Yarrowia lipolytica: one gene and its partners. The protein of the gene in region 2 interacts with the protein of the main gene of each other region in a biochemical or structural test. Links are inferred from orthologs where the notes say so. Each region holds a gene or a part of one and is shown on either strand. Other genes may lie near its edges. The genes, in order: YALI1_C33098g, YALI1_E21983g and YALI1_D17151g.

Region 1 (2,304 bases), on a different chromosome or scaffold from region 2:
CTCTTATATCGCAATGCCCGAACCGACTTACCCCAAAATGGCCTATTGGATTGAGTGGTTTGTGGGAACCGCCTCCAACGTGGGCTTCCCTCCGACCACAGTGCTCAACGAGGCCACGGGCTTGGAGTTGACCACTCTGGAATGGTCCAAGAAATTGGCGACTGCGGCGACCACAGTTTTCAAGCGAGATGTGGATTACGTGCGAGAATACATGGTCTCCAACATCAAGGCGTACCTGACGAGCGAGGGAGCTGCGTCGACCGACTCATCGTCTGCCGCACTAATCTCCGATATCTCCGAAACCAAGGAACTGCCGGGTAACTGAACTTCTCAAGTCCAACTACAGACCAACTTTTTGGGGTGTGAATTTTTTGCAACCTTATTTGAAAATTTGAAAATTTGAAAATTTATCAAAAGTCGATATTGATTACGATCTGTGAGAAGTGTCTGTGGCAGTAAGTGTATAACTTTTACTAGGTATAATACAATCAATAAAATAAAGAGTACATGCGATGGGCCCAGAGTGGGGATTTGGAAATCTCACCCCAGACTTTGTGTAAGTGGCTAATTGATGCTGATATCAGACAGACCTTAGTAACCTCCTCGGCCACCTCGTCCACCGCCGAATCCACCACGGCCTCCACCTCGGCCTCCAAATCCGCCTCGTCCACCTCGGGGAGCTCCAAAGCCACCTCGTCCGCCTCGGGGAGCACCTCCGAAGCCTCCTCGAGCACCGCCTCGGCCACCAAAGCCTCCTCGAGCACCTCCACGGCCACCAAAGCCGCCTCGAGCACCGCCTCGAGCACCACCTCGTCCTCCAGCAGCCTTGGGCTTCTTAACGCCGGTGGCCTTGGGCTTGGGCAGGAATCGCTCCAGCGGCAGCAGCTTGTCTCCGCCAATGTAAAACTTGTCACCAGACTTGAAAGAAGCGGCCTGGAAGCCCTCGGAGGGCTTGATAGTGAACATGACATCGTTCATGGGGCCAAGAATCTCGTCGACCTTGCCGACCTGGGTCTTGTTCTCAAGGTAAATGGGGGCGTTGAAGTAGGGGATCTTCTCATTGATGGACTTGCAGACGATATCGCCCTCGCAAGCGTGCAGAAAGGCACCCATCTCAAACACCTGATCGGGAGGGCCCATCTGCATGGGTGCGCCGGTTCGGCCACCTCGGAATCCGCCTCGTCCTCTGAAGCTCATTTTTGTGTGATGTTTGTAGTAGAGGTTGTGATGAGTTCACTGTAAGGTCAAAAAGTTGTATGCACCTACTAATTTTTTCCCATTAACTTTTCTGCCCTAGCCCTGCTCATGCAGTGTACTATCCATGTTGTAGGGTAGTGCTTGTTGACTAAGCCATCACCTCTGTGACGACAATAAAATGGCCCTATCGACAGACCTGCTCAAGATCTCGCCTCTAGCAGCGCTGCTCAACAAGGATAACGTGTCGATAAACTCAGTCTATCAATTCATCGAGAAGAACGGCTTCAATGATCGCGACCTGCATACCCTAGAGTCTCTGAATGGACTAGAGAAGTGAGTATAGAGAGATGCACAGACACAGAAACACCGCTAGAACTCCTTACTAACCCAGATTATGGCCAGTTTACAACAAGAAACAGGCCAACACAAATGCCATTGTCGTGGCACTCCTTGTTCTTGCCAAGGCCAATGACGGATTCGATCTATGGACGGTGTTCGAGAAGAGCCCCGAAAATTTTGGCCATTTTTACAAAACGGTACTCAATCTCGTGGCCGGAGACAAGCCAACACGGATCCAGAAAGTGCGAACCAAACTACTGCGGTTTCTGACCGTTTCTTTCCAGTGGCTTGACTCTCAGTTGGTGCGATCAGAGGCAGGAGCATTGGTGTCGGTCTACACATGGATGCATATGGACGAGAAGGTGCGAGAGAACCTGCTCAAGGGAAACAAGCGACTGGGGAAGCTCTGGAGAGGCGCCATGAAAGCCTACGACAAGGGCGACAAGAAGGAGGACATCGATAAACAGTCTTCGTTTCTATCGACACTTACAGACATCATGTTACAGAAGGAGCACGATACGGAGTTTGTTGACACATATCTGTGTTTTCTCATCTCTATTGTGTCGCAAATCCCCTCAAGACGATTCGCCAACAGTGTTATCAAGTCCAAGAATGTGTGTTCATTGTTGAAGAAGTGTAACGCCGATTTGCTCAAGACCCTCGATTTTTACGTGCATTTTCCCATGGACGATTTCTCCGGCGAAGAGCTGACTCCTCTGCAAGTGCGAAAGCTGCAGACCCAGTATCTGGAAAAGTTCCAGCTCTATG
Region 2 (3,076 bases):
TGGGTCACGTGGCAGGTGTTTACCATTTTTGGACACTTTCAAAGAATATAATATCATTAATATCATTAATATCATTAATATGATTTTGGACTTTTATTTCATTTTGGACTTTCTTTTTTTTTTTTCTCTTTTTTTTTGACTACAAGTAGCTTATTCATTGGACTACATTCTCAATTGGACTTCATTGCCAACAGGACTCTTCCCCATGGGAATAATACATGACTAAAACTGTACGTCTTAGTCATCCATTGACGGTTCGCGAATCGCAAAATATTCTGGTCGCCGTCGGACTCTGTTGAGTCCAGAATGGCGTTGTAGTCTAGTCTCACTTTGGTTGGGGTTGGATACGGCGCGGAACAACTAACCTCCAGCATCAACAATGGCTTGAAGCATGATCTGGTAAGAATGGGACCATTGTAGCAGCTGTCTCTTGGCAGAGAGTCCCGTCTAGACTGCTTTGATTGGCTGATTGGCTACCAAGCTGGTTACCATTCGACTGTCGACTGTCGACTGTTGACTCCGCCAGGTATATGCCGGTTTACGCTACGAGTAGTGTTGGTGGCTGTTCGGTAAACCAGCCTGTGCCTTACCGGCCGTTGTGGGCGCTATTCGAGCTACGGCCTAGATCAATTCCGGGGAGCATTGAGCGAATACTACGCCATGGGCTGAAAGAGCAACGAGCGAGACTCAACTGGCCTAACAGTCATTGAACTGACTGGATACCGACGAGAGACCCGAAGGAGAATTGCCGGCGATAGTAAGGCTGAAACAAGTTGCAGGTAGGGAAGGGTGACTATCGAGCCGAGTCGAGTCGAGTCGGGTCGAGTTCGGGTTTGGTACGGGCCGACTCCTCAGTCGGTATGAGTTCATTAATGGTCATAGGTGAAACTGTAGCTCCAAGAGATGCTGTCACCAAAAAGGATACCTTTTTTGAAGGTATAAACTAGGAGAACTCACCATCAAGTCCATCGGAAATACCTGTTTCCCCTTACCTGGTCATAACCTGTCCGTACACTGGTCCACGATAACCATCAATGTCACATTACCGCTACGACAAACTTCACAGTATAAAGAAGGAGATGAGGAAATCTCATAATAAACACCCGTAATTGATACGGGTTAATCAGCACGAGAGGTGATTCCCCAACCACCAGTCTGTCGATCAACAATCAATTTCTTGCCGTTTGTTCCACCACCAAATTCGCGATATTCGTCATTCTCGACTCCTACAGGGTTCATGCGAGTGTTGTGAAAAATATCCCATGGTTTGAGCTAAACAGCACGGTCAGGAGGGGGTTATGGTGGTCAGATTTGGACCACGGATATTTCGTTGTGGTTTTTGAAGCCGTAGAAATTGATTCCACAAACAAAAACCGTCATTTTCAAGCCGCAACACCCTCTTTCGGTCTCTGACCCACCTGCATGGTTGGTCGATAAAGTTATCGTGCATAGCTGGGAAATTTTTATAAAGAAGCTTTCTTCTTCTCACCACCATTGTTGACCCGACCTCTTACCGCACACCCACAATGTCCCTCCCATACTCCGAGCAGCACTACTTTTCGTCGTACGACCACTTTGGCATCCATGAGGAGATGCTCAAGGACGAGTCGCGAACTCTGTCGTACAAGCACGCAATTCTGCGAAACCGAGACCTGTTCAAGGACAAGATTGTGCTGGATGTGGGCTGTGGAACCGGCATTCTGTCCATGTTTGCTGCGCAGGCCGGTGCCAAGCATGTCATGGGCGTGGACATGTCCAACATCATCGAGATGGCCCGAAAGATTGTCGATCTTAACGGACTCAGCGACAAGATTACCCTGATCCAGGGCAAGATGGAGGAGATCACCCTACCCTACCAGAAGGTGGACATTATCATCTCCGAGTGGATGGGCTACTTCCTGCTCTACGAATCCATGCTGGACACGGTGCTGTACGCCCGAGACAAGTACCTGGTCCCCGGAGGTATTATCATGCCCGACAAGTCCACCATCTACGCCGCTCTTTTGGAGGACGGCGAGTACAAGGACGAAAAGGTGTCCTTCTGGGACGACGTCTACGGCTTTGACTACTCGCCCTTCAAGGACATTGTGCTGTCCGAGCCTCTGGTCGACACCGTGGACCTCCGACACGTCATCTCCAACCCCTGCCAGGTGTTTGAGATCGATCTGTACACCGTCAAGGTGGAGGATCTGGCCTTCAAGGCCAACTTTGACCTCAAGGCCCGGGTCAACGACACTGCCCACGCTATTCTGTGTTGGTTCGACATTGAGTTCAACAAGCTCACCACCCCCGTCAAGTTCTCCACCGGCCCCCATGCCAAGTACACTCACTGGAAGCAGACTGTCTTCTACATTGACGGCCAGGTGTCTCTGCGAGCCGGTGACGAGGTGACTGGATCCATTGACTGCCGACCCAACGAGAAGAACAACCGAGATCTGGACATTACTCTGGAGTGGGAGTGCAAGGCTGAGAACAAGGGCGGCAAGCGATTTTACTGCATGAAATAAGCTGGCACGACGACTACTGTAGATCCCACTGTCGGCTCACCGAGTGGCAAGCCAAGCTGTGGCTTTCACTGGAACGGTCTAACAAAAAATTATGTATAGAATGTTAATTGTATTTTTTATGACGACTAACAAGCGGCGAGTACAAGTGAGAGAGATGTGGGTGCTAGGAGACCATTTCTGCTCTATTTCTGCTTTGCAGTACAAATCCTACACCCATCTAGTACATACCAACTAAATCTTACTTTTCTTCCACTAATCACACTCAACAACGAGACGCTGAAATGAAGATATCTCTGATTATTGTGGTGTAGAGATTCTCAAAAGTCATTATTACTTATCAAGTTGCTGATCGACTATCCACACAGCAACTTTCCTAGTCTCCACCGTTTCTACAACCCCGTAAATGAACCCCCAGCTGAATTTTCATCCCCAGTAATTTCAACTAACTTCCTCAACTAGATTGTTAAGATTAGAAGCAGTTCTGTCATCGTCTTGACTCCAACAACCGTGTCTCAGTTCGATTTCCGGTTGGAAAATTTTGATCCGAAAAATTAACGAGCCAATCAATC
Region 3 (2,935 bases), on a different chromosome or scaffold from region 2:
TCCACCTACCTCCCTGTCAAGTGCGCACGAAAGATGATCTCGAGCAGTTGAGACTCTGTAGAGAGCTGATCCAGATTCCCCAGTTCTCAAATAACACAGATACCATCTCGTCGAGCTCACTACATGATTTTTTGTCCGTCTTCGTTCCTATGTCCTGGTTGGCGATATGCACCACCTTGTAAAACATCTAGGCTACATCTACACCCTTAGAAACCTGTGTGGCCATGCTATGAGAACCCCGAAATATACAATATATTCGTAATCGTATCGATAATCGATTTGTCAACTCCCCTTTGCCGTCAGCTGTCTCTTTCTCCCATGGTATTGAGTATGTATTTTTGATTCTAGGAGCTACAATACCCACAGCATAACAGAACTTGTATACCGAATTGGGGTATGTACTGATATCTTGCTGACCACACGATATCGTATTCTTGTCCATTCATATCATGAGTTCATTATGCTCAGACATCGCAGGGTTCACTGCTCGGTCTGAGATGAATAAATTACTATAAATATACAGGGGACGGGAACTAGATACGAGTGCATGCACTACTAAGTGATGCAAGTACTTGTAACACACTCACATCGACCAACAGACGACCGACTCGCTACGCTGATACGCACGTCTATGGTCTAGTTCCACCGCGGAGCAGGACCGGTAAAACTACCAAAAGTCTCCCTGTCCCGGTTGCTCATGCCATCACCTCCTCGGCCGCCTCGGCCACCTCTACCTCCTCGACCTCGTCCTCCTCGACCACCGCCTCGTCCACCTCGCCCCCCTCGGAAGTTGTTGTGTCGAAACCCCGAATCAGTCTGGCCAAACGTCTCCAAGTTGAGCTCTCGGTTGACCCGGTTCTGCTCGGGGTCTCGCTGCTGCTCTCGGGTCGAGTGCGAAATGTTGTCGAAGAAGGACGACTTTTTGTTGTAGAACTTTTCTGTCTGCTCGTCCTCGGTCATTTCCTTCTTGAACTCCTCAATCTGGTTGGAGGAGAAGTCAAAGGGTTGCGCCGGAGTTTCTCGAGGCTCCCGGGGCTCCCGGGGTTCTCGAGGCTCTCGCTGTCGCTGCTCCCGGGACTCTCGCGCCTCTCGGGGCTCCTGGCGAGGCTCAGGTCGTGCCTTTCGAGGGGCCTGCTCCTGTACCTGAGGCTGTGCCTGAGGCTGGGATTGCTGCTGCGGCTGAGCGGGAGGCTGGACCTGCACTGGTGCAGCTGCAGGCGACTCGTTCTGTGTCACCTGCTCGGCCTCCTCCTTGGGGGCCTGCTGGGGCTCGAGTTCGGATTCGTCCTGGGTTAGAAGGGTTCAACAAGACCGAACGTATCGGCAGACACAAAATCAGAAGGAAGGCAGGAAATATCCGCACGGTTTTTTGCGCTCTCGGGTGAAATAATTTACATCCTAATGCTTCATCATTGTGGTTGAAAGGGTGAGTGGCGTGTCGACGGTACAGCACACGTGACATGTGAGGGTCCACCATTGGTGTGGTGTCACTCGTCATGGCGCTGTCACTGTAGATATCAGCACATGATCATCTCCGCTCGCTCTCGGTGTACTCACAGCAATCTTCAAATCCTTCACGTCGCTGCCGCGAAAAACCACATAGTCGTAGACCGCGTCGCTGGCAGGAATCTCGTTGGCCCCTCCAGTTCGCCCCTCGGTACCAAAGGTGCGCACCTTCATCAGCGACACGGTCGACTCCTCGGAGTTGATCTCATGGAGAACGCCGAGGTACCGGATGTCGCTGTTGGAGATGAGCGAGATGGTCTTGCCAATGAACTGTGACATGTTTGCGGGGCTTAAATTGTGTTGGCGGATGGGTTTTGAGTCGTCTGTGTTTTGACAAGTGTAAGTTTGAGACTGTTACCCGGTGGGCAAAGTGGTGGAGTGTGGAATCTGGTGTTTGGGGGACTCTGGGCAGCGATTGTGGGACTCGGATGGCGACAGCGGAGCGCGACAATGTTTATATAGACGAGTTTTTCGTCGAGCTGGCCCGGATCAGATCGAGTCCGACGACAGGGTAATTGAGTTGCCCTAGGTGGAGGCCTGTTAGACAGGATGCGCGATAGTGGAGGTCCAGGTGTGTGATTCTGGCAGGGAGCTTGACTCTGTGGGTGGCTTCTGGAATTTGTGAGCTGATTGAGTCAAAGAGCAATCCTCATGTTATTTGAACCTCTGTTACCGCTGTACCATACTGCTCAGGCTGTGAGAGTATGCAGGGATCTACAGATTACGAGTGGAGACGAGGCATGGCCAGAGAACATGTTTTTAAGGCGTCCAATGTCCAAGTTGTGGTCTGGAGGTGTTCCAGACGGTCATTTTTCGGCTTTCGCACGCTTCTTTTGTGGATTCTACGACCTGTACCGTCACATACTACGCTATCTCCTATGCACTACTACTATATACATCCAAAGTTGAATGTACATGTCTTCTTTGGCACTTTGAAGAAAATCCATAGAGAGGTGTCTCGGTGCACATGAGACGGAATCCACGTGACCGTGCATCATCACGTGACTCCAGATATCCAGAAAACCCACGAAAATGCACTCTCTAGTTGTAACGCTGCAGTCCTACAGAGTTTACTGCTGACTAATACCAACCGCCATTCATCGCTTACTAATCCAATGCCGTTGGAGTGCAACTAATGGGGCGCAAAATGGAGCTAGAGCTACTGAGAAAGCAGAAGATGGCAGAGGACGATACAGCGATCTCGGGGTCGGTTTCAAAATCCAAATATCTCGACTACATCGCGACATAGAAGGGATCTTGAGTCGTCTCTTAAGCTTGAACGTTTTGACAAAATTTTGTCAATGATGTGACCAGTTTCGAACCCATTAATTGTCCCAATCTGCACCCTTAAATGGGATACAGTTTTGGTGGTGATTGGGGGGGAGGGGACAGTTGCAGCACCCAGTAGACACTTTGTGATGAGAGTAGA

The links.
Region 1: of the proteins of YALI1_E21983g (region 2) and YALI1_C33098g, one has a biochemical effect on the other in vitro, tested with the Saccharomyces cerevisiae proteins (2 studies listed by BioGRID). The link is inferred for Yarrowia lipolytica from reciprocal best matches to the Saccharomyces cerevisiae genes HMT1 and GAR1.
Region 3: the proteins of YALI1_E21983g (region 2) and YALI1_D17151g form a complex in vitro, tested with the Saccharomyces cerevisiae proteins (2 studies listed by BioGRID, with this or other methods). The link is inferred for Yarrowia lipolytica from reciprocal best matches to the Saccharomyces cerevisiae genes HMT1 and SCD6.

What each region holds. Positions count from the first base shown.
Region 1 is NC_090772.1:3,308,631-3,310,934, forward strand, and holds YALI1_C33098g (uncharacterized protein), read right to left. Parts: upstream 1,198-2,304; coding exon 592-1,197; downstream 1-591. Other genes in the region: YALI1_C33086g (uncharacterized protein), read left to right, coding at 14-325; YALI1_C33100g (uncharacterized protein), read left to right, coding at 1,376-1,530, 1,589-2,304. UniProt on the Saccharomyces cerevisiae protein: Non-catalytic component of the H/ACA small nucleolar ribonucleoprotein (H/ACA snoRNP), which catalyzes pseudouridylation of rRNA and is required for ribosome biogenesis.
Region 2 is NC_090774.1:2,196,768-2,199,843, reverse strand, and holds YALI1_E21983g (uncharacterized protein), read left to right. Parts: upstream 1-1,526; coding exon 1,527-2,507; downstream 2,508-3,076. UniProt on the Saccharomyces cerevisiae protein: S-adenosyl-L-methionine-dependent protein-arginine N-methyltransferase that catalyzes both the mono- and asymmetric (type I) dimethylation of the guanidino nitrogens of arginine residues in a variety of RNA-binding proteins such as heterogeneous nuclear ribonucleoproteins (hnRNPs) and small nuclear ribonucleoproteins (snRNPs).
Region 3 is NC_090773.1:1,713,836-1,716,770, forward strand, and holds YALI1_D17151g (uncharacterized protein), read right to left. Parts: upstream 1,786-2,935; coding exon 1,558-1,785; intron 1,288-1,557; coding exon 637-1,287; downstream 1-636.